2 linked regions of the Rhinolophus ferrumequinum genome follow. The protein of the gene in region 2 purifies or fractionates together with the protein of the main gene of each other region. This does not show direct contact. Links are inferred from orthologs where the notes say so. Each region holds a gene or a part of one and is shown on either strand. Other genes may lie near its edges.

What was found. Proteins that work in one complex are often made in the same cells at the same time.
Region 1: the proteins of JUNB (region 2) and ATF3 purify together in Homo sapiens (affinity purification with mass spectrometry; 3 studies listed by BioGRID and IntAct, counting the BioPlex papers as one, with this or other methods). This does not show direct contact. The link is inferred for Rhinolophus ferrumequinum from reciprocal best matches to the Homo sapiens genes JUNB and ATF3.

The regions. Positions count from the first base shown.
Region 1 is NC_046305.1:19,765,173-19,776,048, forward strand, and holds the start of ATF3 (cyclic AMP-dependent transcription factor ATF-3), read right to left. Parts: upstream 4,146-10,876; 5' UTR 4,045-4,145; intron 3,720-4,044; exon of another isoform or gene 3,703-3,719; intron 1-3,702.
Region 2 is NC_046301.1:48,778,324-48,788,278, reverse strand, and holds JUNB (transcription factor JunB), read left to right. Parts: upstream 1-6,481; 5' UTR 6,482-6,776; coding exon 6,777-7,820; 3' UTR 7,821-8,315; downstream 8,316-9,955. UniProt on the Homo sapiens protein: Transcription factor involved in regulating gene activity following the primary growth factor response. Binds to the DNA sequence 5'-TGA[GC]TCA-3'.

The DNA of each region.
Region 1 (10,876 bases), on a different chromosome or scaffold from region 2:
ATTTACTGTTTGAAGTAAGCCTAACACTACTATTTTAATGGGTGGAGAGAGGAGAGATCAGTCAATCCAGGCAGTCCACAAAAAGCAAACCTGGGCCTCTCAGTGGAGGGCAGGTTAGGGTTTTCAGGGTGTGTCTTTCCCTGGGGGGGCACCCCTTTTCTCCATGATGCAAACGTTGACCATTCAAAGGTCACGTGCTCAAGGAATGAGATTTGATAAAATTAAATTTTACAGCTTCATCAAAGACATTCTCAAGTGAACAGGAGTATTTTTGTGTGTGATTAAGCTTGGTAGCTTAACAGTAATTACCAATTTATATATAAGAGCTCTCATAATTAGTTCATGATTTTTCCTTTGTATATATTTTTTCAAAACGTTATTGACCACTCACAATGTGAGTGACTCCTTGCTAGAAGCTGTAAGAAAGTTTATAAGATGAGAAGGGATGCTTGAGGAGGGAAGCAACATGGGAACCAGAACGAAAGGAAGGCGTTAACTTAGGGATGGAGGAAGCGGGGAAAGTAGACAGAGGCCGAAAGTAGGAATGGAAAGAACAAGAGAGCAGAGAGAGGATTTTGGAAAACGCTATAGCTGTACTTGTAAGCCCTTATCAAAATTTAGAAATATGTCCTAGCATATAGCCTGTTTCTCTGAAAATAAGACCTAGCCGGACAATCAGCTCTAGTGCATCTTTTGGAGCAAAAGTTAATATAAGACTAACTTATGTTAACTTTTATTATAAAAGTATTATTATATAAGTATTATTATATTATATTATATTATATTATATTATATTATATTATATTATATTATATTATATTATATTATATAACACCTGGTCTTATATTATAGTAAAATAAGACTGGGTCTTATATTAATTTTTGCTCCAAAAGACGCATTAGAGCTGATTGTCCGGGTGGGTCTTATTTTCGGGGAAACACGGTAAAATCAAGTGGATGTTTTTCCCATGGAAAAGAAAAGTGGCAGGATTAATTTTTCATGACTTCTTCTTTCTTTTATTCCTTTCAACACATATCAAGAATGGAACTTTTGTTTTTTAACGATTAATCCAATCCAACTCATTTATCCTTCACCTGCCTTCGTAATGCCCAGACACAGAGTTGACTTAATTGTCATTGTACCTGCTGTGATCCTTGCAGTTCAAGAAGCAGCAGGTGAAATTGAGCAGGACAGGTCTCCTGATTCACCTCCAACATATAAACAAATTGAAATGACTGCGATGCTTTTGAATGAGCCTTTTCTCAAGGAGTTTTCATCCAGTTTTAGTAGTTAGTTCCCGAGGATAAGAGCAGTGATTTTTTTTCCTTATTAGAGCTAGTACTTTCAGTAGATGTGTGTCGGAGCACAGCCCCACTTGCTAAGCGCCCCCATCCAGCCCTGGGAAGGGGGAACTAAAGACAGGAAGACCAACTAAACAGAAGAGCGGAGTTCTGGTATTCAAAGCTCTTATCTCATTCAAAGCTCTTATCTCATTTGTTAATTCTGCAAATATTTACTGAGCACTTACTATTGGCCGAGTCTCCCGGTTAGTCACTAGGGGTAGAGTGGTAGGCAGACACTGTCCCTGCCTTCGCAGGCCTACCTTCCTGTGAGGTAGGCAGAGCAGGTGTTATTCATATTGCCAGTACGAGATAAGGAAATGGAGGTGAGGGAAAGACACAGCTCTGGAACAAGACTGGAGCCCCTCTCTGTTCTCCTGAGGTGTAAATACTTGGCTCACTGTGCTCAGTGGCTCTCAAACTTTTCTTACTAATTCCACAAAGGAACGTTAACAATGGACCACATGGGCTTCTGTTCCCCACCTTGGAAATCATTTGTTTCTGTCCTTGCCTTTGAAGAAACAGCACATTTCTTCACACAACGTTAGACTATTGTTGTAATTATTAATACTGATCAAACCTCAGCTTTAAAAAAGTAATTTGCTGAAGTCTTTAAATCCATCTTTCCCTAGGGTTGGGTAAATGAAAACAAAACTATAAAAAAAAAGTCTTTCTTTTATAAAACGATCGGACATCCAGGTATTCAGATAAGCATACTACATCTGGATCTCTCCTCAGGGAACTCTGAGATCACCTGCCTTTCCTGTCTGAATCTTTTTCAAAAGAGAGCCCAGAGAGAAAGGGTGTTTTTCCTAGGAGAATTTTTCACTCATTTCAGCTGTTAGCAGCTGCTCTGTTTCTCCAGTGTGCTGAAATGCCCGCTGCTTTGTAAACATTCTCTCTAATACCGGCATTACTCATAGTTTGAAAATCACTTTGACTCCTGAAACATAATGATGTTAATGTCAGATGAGTCAGCAGGTCAGCATGCTGCTCCTATGGCAGCCGTGCCTTCTACCAGCCTCTCCACCCAGTGTCTGGTGCTTCAAAAGTAAAAAAAAAAAAAAAAAAAAATCAAAAACAGAGAAACCCCTTTTTGGTGGAAGGGTACAGACATTTTGTCCATGACTCAAAGAACAGCTTCAAAGGTGTAGTCAATTTCATTCTCAGGGAACATGAAAGGGAAAGGCAAAGTAAAATCCCTAACCCTAGGTTAATCGATTTACGTGAAGAATGAACAAGGAATTTAGCGAGTTTCTGTAGAGGGTCTGTGATTTTCCCGAAGGGATAAGTCGACACTGATCAGTCTGGTATTCAGTATACAGTTGTGATCTGTTATTTCCAGGACTCCTCTGGGAGGTGTTTTCGCGCCCGTGGGAAGTACACAGTGCAGGAATATTACCGTGAACATCCATGGGAAATGGGAGGCTGCTCGTTTACCCAGGATTCCAGACCCTGGCGGGGCTCCCCCACTGCCCTCTTTGCATTGGTGCTGTGCCCATTCAGACAAGAGATTGCAGCCACTCTCCTGGACTGTTTTCAGCATCATTTACAACCTTTCAATTGTCTCCCCTCCCAGAACTGCTGGGAAATGACCAGGAACTGAGCAGGACACAGTTGGAGTATTTCATAGCCTGGCTGACCACAGCCCCCACCTCCTCATGCTCCCAGCCCCGGTCACAGTCTGACCTGCCAATAAGTAACCCTAACTGTCCCCTTCAGCTCACCTTACCCCACCTTCTCTTCCAACCTCAGGGCATCATTTCAATACACTTACATAGTGCCTCCAAAAAGGCTTCCAGGTTCATTGTGTCACCCCTGTCTCATAATAATCCATATTTTGGAAGTGGGAAAACCTTGTGAAGGTCACATTGTGAGTGGCAGAGCCACACACTCAGACCCCAGGTCCTTTCTACTCTGCAACAACACAACATCAAACCCACATTTAGAGGACTAGCATGCCAGTGAAGGTTGGAAGGATTGCAAGTGCACACATACTATTTTCACAGACAAGAGGAGTAACCAAAATCTAAAGAGAGGCAGTGACTTGCCCAAGGTCACATGGCTCGAAATGTGGCACATCCAGTTGCCAAACTAGGTCACCTGACCCCTGGTCCAGGGCTTTTTCTCTCTTAACTTCTCCTTCCTCACTCTGGACTTATTCCAGTTTAGATACGAGTCTGTACTTCCCAGTTGACCCATGCACCTTACAATGCTGATTCAAAGCATTCTACTCCCAAAGCACAAAGCCCCACAGAGATGCCAAAGAGGAGAACCAAATCCAGTGGCTTTCCATTATGATATGAATAATCAATACCCCAAGTTAACTACGGCACCAATCAGTGGTATCGTCAAACTATACCTTCATGCTGGCTAATTTCAAAGACTGAGATAACATCAGTGCCTCAGTGGGGTGCTGATCTGGCCCCATGGTTGTTATGTAACCTGTAAGAGATAAAATGCCTAGTGCAACCCAAAAATTCTGCAGCACCCTAACTCCAGGCCTTTTCAACCCCCCTCCCTCCGTCCACTTCTTTGGGTGCCATAGAGACATCATGTAGCTGGTGCACAGAACTTCTCACTTTCCCAACCCTCTACAGGGCATGGTAGATATTCCCCCAGCTGAAGGCTTCCTGACCAAACATCTTTCTCCCATGACACTTTTCCTGCTTGGCCCCAAAGGCAAAGAAAAGTCAAGACTCACATTTTGAGGGAAGCTGCCGAAAATCCTTAGAAAACTGTGGAACATCCTATTTAGAGGAGACTCTTCCTTTGTCATGTGTTCCCGGCTGATTCTATTGAATTTATCCTGGAGGTATGGTTAGTCAACAAAAACTGACCCCGCCCCTGCCCCCTAAAGCAACCAACAGCTGTTACTATATTGAGTGGCAATATGAAGTCATAGATAGGTGACTAACCCACCAAGGCTTCCCTACGAGCCATCATCTAAATATGACAGCCTTCCATCATCCTGACCTTTTCACAGGAGAAAGCTGAGTGAGGGGCTTGACACTGCCTCCCAGGGCTCAAGTTCATGTTTGACCTTCTGCAGCCACCATCTCTGACTGAGCATTGGAAGACACATGCCCACTGCCACACACAAATTCCCTTTCTAGTAAAAGGTCACTTTACACAAGACAGCTTTTCTCCACTGGCCTGTCTTTGAAATTAGTAACCATCAGAATGTTTAATAATCAGTCATTAGGGAGGAATCAGGGTGGGGGTTTGTATATATTTACCATGCTGTATATCCCAGGTACTGGGTTAGACTCTTTACACATCGTTTTTCATTTAATTCTCAAAACCCTCTGACGAAGGCTTTACAGTCCTGTGGGTTTAGGAGAAACTGAGATCAGAGGCAACTTGCCAGAAGTCACAGAGCTGATCACGATGGGACTCCACTTCAAGTCTCTGTGACTCCACAGTGAACCAAACCTACATGCCGAAAGCTGCAATCACTTCACCTGGATTTTGTTAAAAATAGAATTTAATTTGTAGAGCGGTTATAGGTTCCCAGCAAAATTGAGCGGTAGGTACAGAGATTTCCCATAGAGCCACCTGCCCTCACAAATGCACAGCCTCCCCTACTGTCAACAGCCCCCATCAGAGTGGTACATTTCTTACAATGGATGAACTTTTATTGACACATCATTATCACCCAAAGGCCACAGCTTACATTAGGGTTCACTCTTGGTGTTGTGCATTCTATGGATTTGGACGAATGTATAATAACATGTATCCACCATTATAATCCTCTGTGCTCTGCCTTTTCATCCCTCCCCCAACCCCTTGTAACCACTGCTCTTTTTACTGATCTTGTCTCCATAGTTTTGTCTTTTCCAGACTGTCCTATAGTTGGAATCATACAATATGTAGCCTTTTCAGATTAGTTTTTTTCACTTAGTAATATGCATTTACGAGTAAGTTTCCTCCATATCTTTTCATGGCTTGATAACTCATTTCTTTTTAGTGCTGAATAACATTCCATGGTCTAGATATACTGTGGTTTGTCCTTTCACCTACTGAATCACCTGGATTTTAGAACTTCATTCTAGTGTGGTTTATATTGAAAGCAGAGATGGCCACAGAACCTGGTTATCCTCTTCTGGAGCTCATACCTGCCTCCTCTCTCCTGCCATCTACACAGCACCTGTGACAGGCGGAAGGACACCCCTTTGGCATCCATTGCTTATTTCAGCAGCCTGGGAACCAGCTATTCCTCCAGGATGAGTTCTAGGGCCGATCTATGGAGAGCTCATCCATGCACACCTACCATAAAATCAGGATATTCCCTTTTCCCTCTGTGCCAATATACTCTCATGTTTCCCTCCAGCCCCCAATACAGTTATTCCAAATATGTCTCACCAGCTACCATACAGGTTTCTCTCTCTCTCTCTTTTTAATTCTATCCATCCATCTAGCCAGCAAGTATTTATTGAGCACCTACTATATGTTGGTCCTAGATGTAAGTCCTTAGAGGACACTGAATGTGTTTACATAAGTTTGTATGCAGAGTTACGCCCATCACAACACCTCACTCCATTAATAAATACTTTTGATTGGCAAGGGGTGGCAGCAGTGTGTGTGCTCATGGAGATAAAAAAGACAAACATAGTGAAGGACTGAAAATAAGCCTATGAGACCATCTGAATTATTACTATCATCAAGTTATAATATTATATTTATTATATAACAGTATAATATAATTATTTTATTTTTTGAGAGTAAAGGAAGGATAAGTTTAATCAAGGAAAAGAGAAGAAAGAAGCAGGCTACTCCATAGACAGAGCAGCCTCGCTCCTGCTGGGGTTTGAGCCTATTATTGGTGCCCCTTTAATTAGGGACTTTACATTCAAACTTGTAGGATTATTATTATGATTGTTAGTATATTGTTTTATAATAATATTAATAATATTATTATAAAAAACCCTTATGTAGCACTTTCTGTGTTTTAGGACCTAAGTGCTTTTACATAAATGGTAAATCTACTTGTTGCCTGAAAAGGCTGCATAGGCTGAAATATAAATAAATAAAGTTTCAAATACATTCCTGGAGGGCAGATCTATAACAAGTTATTAAAGTGGAGTTAGGAATAACCAGGGTGCATTCCTAACCAATGAGAATGATGTCATGAAGGCTAAGTGCTCTAATCCAGCCCAAGCCATCTTGGTGGCTCCATCCGAGGCAGGCGCTTAAGTGGGACAGAGCTCAGGCTGACCCAGCGCTGATCTGCGGACCACTGCTCAGCCTCTGAGTTTCCACTATGTTGGAAGCCTGCCCAATGGCTTCTCCCGCATCCTTCCACCTCTGTCAGCAGCTGTGTGTGTATGTCCACCCCTCCCCCCCTGTAAAAGCAAAGCTTTGCTTTGTGTCATCCAGTGAGTCAGTGGCACAGTTGGGAACAGACCCAGGATTCCTGCTCATTTCTTTGCTGGTGTTGTTTGCTGGAGATCATAATCCTTCCACATTACTGGCCAGTTACATTTATGGCTTTTAACGATATTTAATGGGGCTTCTGGGATTAGAAACTGATGGGAAGTAAAGACTGGGAGATAAAAAATCAAAACCTGAAATGACACATAAGATCTGGATTACTGAAGGTTTAAAAATGGCAATCCAACTCATCATGTCATTCCATTGGGAAACGATTCCTGAGGAAAAATAACCACCTCACCTATCTTGAGGCTGAATGGGAGAGAGACGAAAGGGGAAGTAGAAACAGCCAGGGGACCTCAGAAATTGTGTTCCCCAATTCTTCCCAGTGGCTTCATCTCTATATTTACTTCAATTCCCCATTTTTCTTTCCTTCTATGACATGTTACAATTTACCATACACATTTATGCCCACATTCCACCTGAGACTTATAACAGAGGTGTGATCCATGGAAAGAGCAGTGGGCTGCAATGCAGGTGACTGGGGCTTTCTACCTAACAGGCCAAGTGACCCCAGGCAGGTTACCGCACTTGGACCTTACTTAGTCCGTTATTTATAAAACAGGGGCTGGCCTGGTTGGCTTGAAGGTACCATACTGGTTTAAGCTCCCATGTCTGTGTGTCTAGCTCCAGTACAGAGAAAGAAGCCGCTGCCCCCACAGCTAAGGCTGCCTGTGGTTTTCTCCATTTCCTCCCAAGACTGCGGTGGGAGCACATGCAAGGTGTTTGGGGACAGGCTCCAGAAAGCCTGGCAGTACAGGAAGAGCAGTGGGCAGTGACTCCACTAGAGGGGACAGGAGCCAGGGTACACAAAGAAGAGAGCTCGGTGGTGGCTGGAGGCTGGGTACAAGGGAAGAGGGGTCCGTTTTAAATGGCTCCATGAGGTGAGCTGGGGGAGGAAGGTACTCCTGGTAGACCTGGCATGTGTAGCCTGAGGTTGGGGCTGTGACTCTCAGCCAAGGACTAGTAATGATTGTCGGAAGATAACAGGGACCGCACCTCAGCCACTTGGCTCCATTTCTGGTACACAGTCCCCATCATTTTGCTCAAAACTTTGAGAAGCTGTTGTCTCTCATTTGTTTTCGGCAGGACTATGCTATTCCAACCGGAAATTTTCGTTTGCTTTATAGAGAGGGGATAATGATGGAGGAGAAACACTTCTGCACTTGAGTAGAGCGGGCCCCTGATGTGCCAGTGCATACACTTTAATTAAGCAGGGTGGTCGCTCTAGTTTCAAGAGAGGAAACACCGAGTCAAGGGTAAGGCCTGGCATGGCTGGGACTAGGGTGGGGTGAGTGAGGTGCCTGGAGTGCCCACCTTAAAGACTTGTTCTCAGAGTTGGTCAAGTGCAGGAAGTACCTGAGAGTGAGCGTCCTCACTTGCCTTACCCTGAGGCCTGGCACTTCCTTCTCTGGGGGTCTTCTGGCATGGAGTGGGTAACTTGTGCAGCGGCACTGGGCTTGTGTTAAAAGGGAAAAAGCTTGTTCTAGGGGACTCCACATATCGAGAATAAAACGTACATTTCATAGCCCAACTTGATCTCCAAAAACATAGACCTGGAGTCCAACTGATCTGGGAATGACTTCCAGTTTGCCATTCTTTAGCTGTGTAACCTCGGGAAACATACTTCACCTTGCTGTGCCTTGGTTTATGTTCCTCATCAATAAAATGGGGATGGTAATACCAACCTCTGAGCTAGGAGGATTACACGAGGGGCTGTGGGAGGGTAATGAAAATATCTGCCCTATAGTAAACCTCAGTACATTTTTAGTTCCCTGTGAGACTGTGATAATGCTGAATGATCAACTGTTGAACAGGGTTCCTGCCTCTAGAAGCTTCCACGGGCAACATTAGCATAAGAGGAGATGTTTGGACACCAGTTAACAAATTTCACACCCAGAGAGTTAACTAACTTGTTTCAGGTCACACTACTGATGACAGAGTTTGGACACAGTCAAAAACAGTGATAAAAGGGCCAAGCTGGCCCAAGGTGATGGGGATTATATAAATAAACAGTCAAACCACAGCCTTTATGTAGTAGCAGAGGTACAAGCATGAGAGAAGGGGCTGTAAGTGAAGGTGTTGGGAGTCAAGGGCCATGGAAAAACTTTTTGAGGCAGGATCACACTTTGGTTAATCAAGGAGGGCTTCCAGGAAGAGGTTCTGAGGTTTCAGAGAGCCTCCAATGAGGCTCAGTTGCTCTCCTTTTTTCATCATCTCAACAGTCAACACTTGTCAGTAGAAAGGGATATAAGATGGGCTCTGATTCTATGGATAGGTGAGTGGAGTCATCGCTCAGATCTTCCATCAGAAGCCTGGGCCCTTTAAGGCATGTGAACGTTCTAGGATAGCCCGGCGGCCTCCCCCTGGCGCGCTTACGTCATCTTTCAGGGAAGCGGCTGACGTCAGTGCGTCCTCGGCGAGTGGGGGCGGGGCCGTGACTCACCCAGACCGCGCCCCCGGCCCTGCCAGACAAGGGGCACGTGAGCGCGTATCGCGCTGCTTTCTAATTTTAGCTCCGGCGGCTCTGGTGGGGTCAGGCGAGGTAAAGAGGAGCAGAGGGGACTAAGGGGCTGGGGGCGCGGTTCTCTCGGTCCCTTGGTGGCTCTCCGTGCGTCTTCCTGGAGGACGGAGCTCGGCCAGATGGCGGGTCCCGCGGGACTACTGGAGGTGCAGGAGCGGGGGCCTCCCGAGGCGGGGCCCGAAGCGCCCCCTTCGCGTGAGAGCCGGCCCCGAACTTGCCTGCCTCAGAGTAGGCGCTTAAGAAACGGACCAAGCTTCCCTCCTGGACAGCGACTGGGTACTTGTTAGAGAGAGCCAGGGTTCTGGAAGGTTCCCTGGTGGACCAGGAGTGGCGTGAGCTACAGTCAGAACAGGAGCTGGGCTCAGCGAGGGCCCGGCGGACGGAGTGGCCACGTGGAGCCGTCCCCCAACCCGCAGCCTAGCTGGCGTTGCCATCAGAGCGGGTTGGGGGCGTCCGGGACCCCCCATTGAACCGCCAAGTCCGAATTGCGTTTGGCAGTGGGAAGGTGCCGCGTGTGTTGTGAAGGGCGGTGACCGTTCTAGGGTCAAGCCAAGCACAGGGGCCTGAAGGTCACCAGTTGAGGACCCAGCGCTGATGCCACAAAATCCAGGTGATCCGTCCGGAGCCCGGGACATACCAAGGTGACCGGCCAGGAACCGGATAAAAGCCAGACATCCTATGAAATCCACACTCACCCGTTCTTTGCGGGGAGGGAAGGGAGAGAATTCTGGAAAGAAGCTCTGTCAGCGTAAAGTGAACTGCAAGTTGGACTTTGCAGAGTGGGCTGCCCTGTCACAGTGACCTGCATTCTGTTGTTGGTGTGGTATCCTCAGGTTTCACAGGGTTTGTCTCCATGGACAGCTTATAAAACAACATTTGGGGAGGCTTTGACCTTGTTAGATGAAGGGTGTTGGATGTTACAAAAGAGTTAAATATAAAGATAAACTGAGAGAGTGTCAAATGGTAGTATGAGTACGTTTTTTTAATGGTTGGGTTGTTAAAATTTTCTATTTCAAGGCTCTGAAGGCTATAACCTTAAAAGAAAGTAAAAAAAACGAAAAGAAAAAAGAAAAACAAACAAAAAAAACTCCTCCTGTGCCCTTAAAAAGAAATGGTAGAAAGTTGTGGAATAAAGATACTTTGGAGATTATGACATGAGTGAATAACAAATCTGTCAGCCCAAACGTGTAAGTTTTCATTTGTTTTTCAAAAACACCACACTGACCTTTGTAAATTGGAGATTTTTCAGAGATAAATAGGGAAGCTGCAAGTTTTTAGGGCTTTCGTCCTCATTCGGAATCCATCTTAACACAGTTTAAATAGACGACTGATGGTTACAATCTAACAAATATTACATTGTTCATACAGCAACAGAAATTTCTTATCCTAATTTTGTACAGTTACTACCACATTTTCCTCAATGTAATGCCTGTTTTGGGAGGGTTTTAACTTGGGCAGGTGTGAATGATGATGAATCATGTTCTCAAACTGAGCTAATTTCCCTTTGGGTTATTGTATGTATATATGATGTATCAGAGCTTTAACATAAAAGTCCTCATGTTCAAAAATTAAGGTTTTT
Region 2 (9,955 bases):
GATAATTATGTCCTGCTCATTGTGTCATTGTGGGGATTAGGTGAATAATGGATGGGACGTTTTGCATCCAGAGCTGGGCACAGAAGCAGGGAGGAGGCTTGGCACGCAGAAGGACCCAGACTCCTCCTGTCTCTTCCTGGGTGTTAAGAGTGCCCAGCAGGAGTGAGTCCTTGCTAGTTAACCCAGTGCCCCACCCAGGTGCTCCGAGGCCTTGGGGTTCATCCCGTACACCCCTGCCCCTCCACACCGCAGGCACCCAGGAAGTGAGAGGCGGAGCAGGAATGAGGCGGAACCTGTTGGGCCCGTCGCCTCCCCGCCCCCTCCACCCTCATTCCCTGGCCCTTACAGGGCCCCCACGCTGCTGCCCCACCCCTTGCTGCCCTGGACGCCTGGGTCCTGACCTGAGGGTGGCCCGAGGGAGGGGATGTTGGCGGAGACAGCGTCTCGGGAACATCCTGTGGATGGCCGGCTGGACAGACCAGATGGGAGGGTCAGCCCCTCCCGGGGCAGGGCAGAAGTCAGCTGGGGGCAGAGTAAACATGGCCCAGGGTGGCCAGACTTGGGGGGGTGGCAAGGAGTATACACATACACAGTCACCCTGAGAGAGCCAGTCCAGACACACAAACCCCTGTCACCCTGCCACAGTGAGACTGCCAACTTGGGACACACTGACAGGGTCAGACACACACTGGGCAAAAAACCCAGCAATGGCTGTCACACAGACATAGTCAGTGACAGGACAGACTCAGGAACAAGATCGAAATTCTGCCAAACACCCAAGCCATCAACAGGCCAGAAGTATGCAGGCAGGGTGTGTGTGACACAGATAAATCAACTGGGCATACAGACAAGATAGACACACTGCCAAACACAAGCACAGAGAGACATTCAGGTGAGCACAGAGCCTGGCTCACCAAGTAGCATGGTTACATGCACTCTGAGACAAATGTGACAGGCCAGAAACACACAGATACAGAGATGATTGTGGGTTAGATACGAGTGACAATGCATGCAAGTTGACAGATTCAGAGAAAGGACAGTCACTTTCAGCACAAGCACCTCAAGAGCTTCATAAGACATGTTCAGACACACACTGTCAGATCCTGACACACGAGAAAGCAACACATGAGCACGCACACACACACACACACACACACACACACTAGCAAGATCACCAACTTGGAAAGACACTCAGAGGCAAAAGAGAAAAACAAACGTGATGAAATGGACGGAGAGGACATGTACACACCATGACAAAAAAGGCCCCTCCCCTGCTCCCCACACAGTTGCACACACTCAAAAGGCTTCAAGGGACACCAAGACTTAACAGATACACGCTACCACACTGGTAACACTCACATGTCAGATTCACCGACAGATGGACACATGCAAGCAGACAAACTGACATTCATACATGCTATGAACAGACAGTCACATCCAGTACAGAGAAGCATGGACAGGCCACAGTAGTGCATTCCTAAACACATTGGCACAGAGACACCCTGGCATCTGCACACACACACACACACACACACACACCAACCACAGACAGGCCATAGCCAGACATTCATAAACAATGGCACAGAGATACCTGACACACACACATGCACACACACCAGCCACAGAGCTCACACACACACAGACCTCACACAGGCAAGCCATGGACCTCACACACACACACATACACCCCAGACATGAATAGGTTAGCCATATGAATTCCAAAACAACACATGCATATATAGACCAGCTACATGCAACCTATTCCATAGACCATACACACACCTCACTCCCCCAACACACACACACACACACACACACACACACACACACACACACACACACACACACAACAGACAGACCCTATACACCCCTGCAGGGTTAGGCGAACACACAGACAAATGTACTGGGGAGACAGGCCTCACATACTCTCACACGCCCTGACAAGCCAGCCACACACAGATCCACAGCCGACCAGACACACGCACTCCTGGACCCTGCTGAGGTTCTGTGGGGCTCTAGGCTTCCCAGCCTGTCTCTATCCCCTTCAGAGATCCCAGCACTTACTTTCTCCAAACATTGCCCCCCACTTTCTGCCCTCCCTACTGTTTGTCATTTCCCATAGGCCCAAGTCAGCTGCCTCAGTCCCGGGTGGGCTGTGGGCCTGTTTTCTCAGCACATCCCCTGTAAAGGGGGCACACAGAATCTCAGTCGACTCAGGCCCCCCAAGACCTCACCAGCAGTGTGTGTGGGGGACAGAAACAGTTTTGTGGGAAACTCCCCTCATGCCCAGCTGAGTCAGCCTGAGGAGACAGCCTCTCCTTCCTGCTTCCAAGAAAACCCAGCAGCTTCCTCTCCAGCAGAGGGGTGAGGGACCCCCAAACCACAGAGGTGGGGGAGGGAGGTAGCTGGCAGGCCAAGGGTTCCTGGGGGAGGGCCTCTCTGATTCTCAGCCTCTTCCTGCCCAGCTGCCTGTCCACACCCAGGGGCAGGGACGCGGGATGTTGGGTGCTGTGACTTGTGGGTTCTCGCCCTGTCCTGCCCACCAGCTGACTCACACACAGCCCCCAGCCCAGTTTCCTGGTGAGGGCTCCACTGGTCAGTGGGGCCGGGGGAGGGGGGTCACCAGGCTATTTATAAGAAGGAGAAGTCCCTCATGTCAGGACCAAAAGCCCCAGAGAGACCCGTGGGTGGGGGTGGGTGAACTTCCCCCTTATCCTGTCCCCCCACCCCATGCCCTGGGCCCCTGGATGTGGGGGAAGCCTGGGCACAGAGTCCTCCTACAGATGCTGGTCTGGAGCCCAGGGGCTGGGCAGTCCCCAGCTGACAATCTGGGCACCCAGGCCAGGCGGGGGAGGGGGCTATCCTCACACCCTCTTCACAGGGCCCTTGGCGCCAGTGGGGCGGCGTGAGGGGGTGGTGCCCAGGCCACAAGGGTGAGACTGGCAGGGGCCTGGAACCGGCTGTACCAGCTCAGCTGGGCCCCCGCCCTCCCTCGCTGGCCTGATCCCCACCCCCTGTTCAAACACCCATGCAGAGTACATGGAGCCACCCGACCCCACTCCAACATGCTGGGCTGTCTCCCCACCCACCAGCATCTCTCCATCCTGTGCCCAACTCCATTGCTCTCCAGATTAAAGGAGACCCTTCATGAAAGGGTCTACAGAGCTTGGCATCCAGTTGGTACTGCATAAAAGCCTCTCTGCTTGTGATTATTCACAGTGTAGTGGCTAATGCTCTGGATCCAGACAGCTAGGGTTATATCTCGACTCCAGCACTTATAGCTGTGGGCCATCAGGCAAGTTCTTTACCTTCCTGTGCCTCAGTTTTCTTGTCTGTTAAATGGGGGTACATAGCATGCATTTCTCTGGGTGGTTGGAAGCAGGCAATGAGTTATTCTACGTAAACCACTTAGAAGAGTGCCTGGCCCATGATAAGAGCCATGTAAGTGTTAGCTATTAAAATAATAATTACTATTTCTCAGTCTGTCTGCCTATCTTAAGTGTCTGAATCTTGCTGTCTGTCTGCATGACGTTAACCTTGCCCCGGGTTTGTCTCTCTGGCCATCTCTCCCTGCCCTGACCCCTGCCTTCATACACCCACTTTTCCTTGCTGAGTCCTTGCCCTCCATCTGGATCCTCTCTGGGCTGGCCTCACCTCTTTCCAAGACTCCCCTGGCCTGGCCTGCCTCAGCACTGGCCAGGGCTGACTCACTGTGGCCTCCTGGCCTGTGAGACCTGCAGGTTGGCTTCGTGAGATGCTGCCCTCTGGCCAGACCTGCCCAGCCCCCCAACCTTGCCTACTGCACCCCCGCAGGGCCCAGGCCAGATGTCAGCTGCAGTTATTAGCATGGGCGGGAGACATAGGCCTTGGCAGCCTGCCGGCCAGACTCAGCGGGCCGCCGGAATCTCCCTTGAGCCTGGGGCGGGGTAGGGGAGCAGTTCAAACAAGGGGAGGAGGGAAGGGGGCAACCAGGGGTCACAAGGACCTCCAAAGACCAAAGACAAGGGACACCCCCAGCTTCTCATGGGACCTTCCTCCCAAGCACCACTGCTCTACTGGACTTCCCCCTACCCCCACACAGCTCAGTTTCTCTTTCACCTCTTTCGTTTTCCTTCTCTCCCCCACCATTGGTGAGCTCTGTGCCTGTTGTACAAAAACTGGCTAGCTCCATCCTCAGCCTCTACCCTAAAGAAACTTCCATCATTCCAGAAGATACAGGCCTCTCAGAGAGAGAGAGAGACTGAGCTTCTCACCTCTTGTTCTAGTGGCTCACATCCTAACTGCTTGGAAGTCCCACCTTAAGTCTAACTAGAAACCTCACCATCTAAACACCCACTCAGTCCTTAACTGGGGAAGGGGCTCTGGGTTTCCCCAGATTCTTCCCTTGGATTCTCAGGTCTCTTCTGACTGGAGGGAAGGGGAGCCCTCAGATAAAAGAGATATCCTGTGGAGGAAGGGAACCCCTCCCAGGTATTCTGGATGGTTGACGGAACCCCCAAACAAAACAAGAGTAGGGGCGCTTGCTCACATGAGTGAAGGAGGGGGCATCCCAGCCCCTAAGGGTGTTTGTGGGGAGGAGTCCCACATCTGGCAAAAAGGAAGGTACCCGCCCGAGGGAGGAGGCAAGCCTTGCCAGCCCGCCCAGGCGCCGGGGGCGCCTGGAGGCACTGACCCGCCTTCTCCGCGCCCCGTCGGGCCGGGGGCGAAGTCCGACCCAGGCCCGCGGACAGGCGGGGACCTGCCGGGCTGGGTCGGGCCAGGCCTAGCAGGACGCCGCCCCAGAGCGACTGGGTGGGGCTGGGCCAGGCGGCCGTGGGGGCCCGGAGGCGGCGGCCGAGGCTGGTCGGGACTAGCCGTCCGGGGGCCCCGGCGCGCCCTGGGACCTGGCAGATACCAGGGCTCCCGGCTCCTGGCTCGGGTCCCCGGGACAGCGCTGGCCCCACCCCTTCCTGTGCCCTTATATGGGCGTCAGGGAGAGACTCCCGGGGATCGCCCCGCCCCCAGCCAGCGCACGGACTCTGGCCTGTTGCCATAGCGACCAGGCCCGCTCTTGGGTGCGTCCCCCTCTGTCGGGCCAATGGAATAGTCCCCGAACTGTCTGCCTCCGAGATTGCGGGCGCCACGGGCTGAACCACATTGCTGGGCGGGGGGAACAGTGACTGGAGGCCTCTGCAGCTGGGCGTGTTCGGCGCACCCAGGCCTCAGCAGTGGTCGCGCTCCCAGGTTCCTCATCCGAGGCGCAGAACCCCGCCGGACCCAGGGCGGGGCGCACGGTCCAGTAGGATCCGAGTGACGGAGGCCGGGCTGGGCTCCGTTCCCCAGGGCTGTTGCCACATTTCCTGCCGCGAAGCTCTTCCCAGGCCTTTTCTAAGGAAGGAGTGGGGTTGGGTGACCGCGCCCAGGCCGGCGGGCTGGGTCCAAGCACCAGGAGCCGACTCGGTGTCGGTCAAGCCCACGGTCACTGGGGAAAGGCTTTGGGATGGGGACAGAGTATACAAAGACCTCAGCAGGAAGGTCACCCAAAAGAGGGGGCTCCAATCATGGAAGATCCAGCAGCCCAAGTCCCCAGGATCCTCAAAGACCCCGCCTTTCCTCATGTCTCAACCGGGGACCCTCTGTCATTGGCATCTCAGCTCTGAAAGTGTGCTCTGACCCTAATTCTACTTCATCAGGGCTTTGCAGATGTCTCCAGTGACCCCCTTTTCTACCCCACATATTTTCTCTGAGTCAGTGTACCCCAGGACCCTCACTCACTTTCTGCATATCTAGATTCCCCTAGTGTCCCCCCTTCCCATTTGTGGGGGACCCTCTGTCTCTCCCATGGACTCCAGGACCCCTACTCATTTCTTGCATAATGGGTCCTCAAGCCTCTCCCAGTGTACCCTTTTCATTTCTCCTCCTCCCCAATTTTCCTGGATTCAGTCGCTCCCATGAAAATCCCAGTCCCTCAACCCCTGGTACTTGGGACCCCCACACAATTCCTGTGTCAGGCCTCTCTTTACCCCTTCCCCTGCTTAACCCTTCCGTCTCTCTTTTATGGGGTCTCCTAGCGTATTCTCAGCTTTCCAACTCCTTTTGGATACTCCGGGTCCTTCAGGTCCTTCTATGTACAACCTGGGACACCCCCCCTCCCCAAACACACACACACACACTTGCTCTGTATCAGTTCCTCATGTCCCTCATCGCGTACTTCAGGGGTATCATCATCCACCCTGGAGCCCCTCCTCGGGTGCCTCGGACCGCCCCAGCACCCCCTTCCTCGCGCGTCCCGGGGTCCCCTGAGCCCCTCCCCCTACAGCATAGCCAAGCCACCCAGCCCGTGGCCGCTGTTTACAAGGACACGCGCTTCCTGACAGTGACGCGAGCCGCCTCCTCCCCTTCCCCACGCTCGAGGAGGGGGGCGCGGGGGCCCGGCTCGCGCGACGGCCAATCGGAGCTCACTTCCGCAGCTGATAGTCGTGGTATAAAAGCGTGTGGCTCTGGCTGAGCGGCCGGTACCTTGAGCGCGGCAGACCAGCGTCTGAGCAGCAGGGAACGGGGAGCAGGGGTAAGCGACACGGAGAAAGCGAGCGCGCCAGAGAGGGGCAGAGGGGCTGGAGAAGCCGCACAGAGCTTCCGCGCAAGGCGGCCGGGTGGCCTCTCCCGGCGGGTGCCGGCACCCAGGGCCGCGCGTCCAGACAGTCAGTCCAGCCACCGCCGCGGACAGAGCACCGCTCGCAGCAGCGAGGCCCGGGGCGGCCCCGCAGGGACCCCCCCAGACCGCCCGGGCCGCCCGGATGTGCACTAAAATGGAACAGCCCTTCTACCACGACGACTCATACGCAGCGGCGGGATACGGCCGGGCCCCGGGCGGCCTCTCTCTACACGACTACAAACTCCTGAAACCCAGCCTGGCGCTCAACCTTGCCGACCCCTACCGAAGTCTGAAAGCGCCTGGGGCGCGGGGCCCCGGCCCAGAGGGCAGCGGTGGTGGCAGCTACTTTTCCGGCCAGGGCTCGGACACAGGCGCGTCGCTCAAGCTCGCCTCATCGGAGCTAGAGCGCCTGATCGTCCCTAACAGCAACGGCGTGATCACGACGACGCCCACGCCCCCGGGACAGTACTTTTACCCCCGAGGGGGTGGCAGCGGTGGAGGTGCGGGGGGAGCGGGGGGCGGCGTCACCGAGGAACAGGAGGGCTTCGCCGACGGCTTTGTCAAAGCCCTGGACGACCTGCACAAGATGAACCACGTGACACCCCCCAATGTGTCGCTGGGCGCCAGCGGGGGCCCCCCGGCGGGGCCTGGGGGTGTCTACGCGGGCCCGGAGCCGCCTCCTGTCTACACCAACCTCAGCAGCTATTCCCCAGCCTCTGCGCCCTCCGGAGGCGCCGGGGCCGCCGTCGGGACCGGGAGCTCATACCCGACGGCCACCATCAGCTACCTCCCACACGCGCCGCCCTTCGCTGGCGGCCACCCGGCACAGCTGGGCCTTGGCCGAGGCGCCTCCACCTTCAAAGAGGAACCTCAGACCGTGCCTGAGGCGCGCAGCCGCGACGCCACGCCGCCAGTGTCCCCCATCAACATGGAAGACCAGGAGCGCATCAAAGTGGAGCGCAAGCGGCTGCGGAACCGGCTGGCGGCCACCAAGTGCCGGAAGCGGAAGCTGGAGCGCATCGCGCGCCTAGAGGACAAGGTGAAGACACTCAAGGCGGAGAACGCAGGGCTCTCCAGCACTGCCGGCCTCCTCCGGGAGCAGGTGGCTCAGCTCAAACAGAAGGTCATGACCCATGTCAGCAACGGCTGCCAGCTGCTGCTCGGGGTCAAGGGACACGCCTTCTGAGCACCCCTTCCCCGTACGGACATTCCCCCAGCCTGGACGGCTGGGCGCACGCCTCCCAAGGGGCAAGGGGGCAGGCGGTGGGCACTTGCCCCGGGGTATGGGGGCGGCGAAAACCACACTGGACTCCTGCCCGCCGGCTCTGCGCCCAGTCCTTCCACCTCGACGTTTACAAGCCCCCCTTCCGCGTTTTTTTGTATTTTTTTTTCTGCTGGAAACAGACTCGATTCATATTGAATATAATATATTTGTGTATTTAACAGGGTGGGGAGGAGGGGGCGATCGCGGCGGAGCTGGCCCCGCCGCCCGGTACTCAAGGCTGCGAGGACTCAAGGGAGGGGCCCCGCCCCCTGCCCTCCCCCCCTGCACCGTACTGTGGAGAAGAAACACGCACTCAGTCTCTAAAAAGTTTATTTTAAAATGTGTTTGTGTGTGTGTGTGTGCGTTTGTTCTGACTTTTTATTGAATCTATTTAAGTAAAAAAAAAAAGGTTCTTTATTAATTTCTGTTGTCTTTTTTTTCGAAGCCGGGCGGGCGGAGGGAGGAGAGTGTTGAGCTGCCCACACCCCACTGCTGTTTGTGGCTCGCTCCGGTATTTGTGTCCCTTCGCCAGCTCTGCCCAGGCATTTCGCAGCTCCAGCCCGGGTGTCCAACCCTCCTCGCGTACCCTGATCCCGGGGGCTGGAAAGTCCAGGGCGCGGACCGGGCCCAGCCTCCCAGGACCTGGGAGCAGGATGCCTGGGGCGAGATGTGCAGTGCGCAGGCGCAGCCCCGTCCACTGGCTCGGGCCGGGGCTTTCCCCGCTGACGCAGCGGAAGCGCTGCCCATATATGGGCCGATTCTGCCCAGTGACGCGACGGCGGTCTCCGGGCAGATTCCGGGAATCCCCTCCCCCGCTCTGCCCGGCAAGGCCGCGGCGCCCGGAAGGAGGCCGGGATTTTCCCAGGCGGGTGGCTGCTTGGGCCCGGAAAGCCCCAGGCCTGAGTCCAGAGCGTCCACGGTGGGCGGGCCGCGCTCTTGGGTCCCGGGAGCCACCCCAGACCCTCCCTTTTCTGGCTGGCGCCCAGGCCCCGCCGCACCCACGCTGTCTGACCTGACCCGGGCGGGGGGTTGCTGTAGTCCGCATGTCCTTGCTGCCGCGGTCCCCCTCACCACCGCCAGGAAGGGCGGTGCCCGTCTGCCAGTTTCCTTCACGGTGCCAGGCAGGGAGCGGGGTGACTGCCAGGTCTGGTCCTGCCGGGGCGGCTGCTCAGGCCGCCCGGCGCAGCCGCCGCCCTCGCTCGGGGCTCCCTCCCCCGCAGCTGGGATGGGTAGGAGGGCAGCTGGTCAAAAGGGTCAAGCTGGCCTCGGAGCTGGAAGCCCCCATAACAGCCGAGAAAAACAGGCGGAGAAACCAGGCCAAAGGGGTGGGGTAGGCAGAACAGACACTTCATTAATTCATTTATAAACTTCTGAACAACACGGCCCTGGAGACACAGTCTGGACCACAGGAGACAGATAATAAACAAGGAAACGATTTGGAAATGGTGTAAGTTCTAGGAAGAGAAAACACAAGTCAAAGTGGTAGTGATGAGGCAGGGGAGATGAGCGGCTTTGGAGAATGGATTGGGAAGGTGGACCTTTAATGAGACCAGATTTGAAGAAGCCAGGTTCTGAGAAAATCCTGCGTAACAGCGTTCTGGGCAGAGAATACCACATGCAAAGTTCCTGTGGCCAGAACAAGATCAGCCTGTTAAAGAACAGTAAGAAGCTAATGTGTCTGGAATGGAGTAAACCAGGAGCATGGAGATTAAATATGGGAAGACCACACGCAGGGACTTGGGGAGGAGTGTAGATAATATTCCAAAGCTGAGATGAGTGACCTTGGAGGGTATTAGGCTGGATAACAATATTAATAATGGTTCTATGTATTAAATGAACATGTCCTATTCTGTGGAAGGAAATGAGGTCTGAGTGGCGAAGCCACTTGCCTGGCCACACACAGCATCAGACTACACTCCTGGAAATACTACCTTGCTCCTGACACCTGCCTCCCAGCCTAACCATCACCTTTCCAACTTGTGGTGGGGCAGAGCTTGCCTACTGTGCGTATAGCTTAAGCTCCCACTCTTGGTTCTGCTCTCACAACTGGGTCCCCA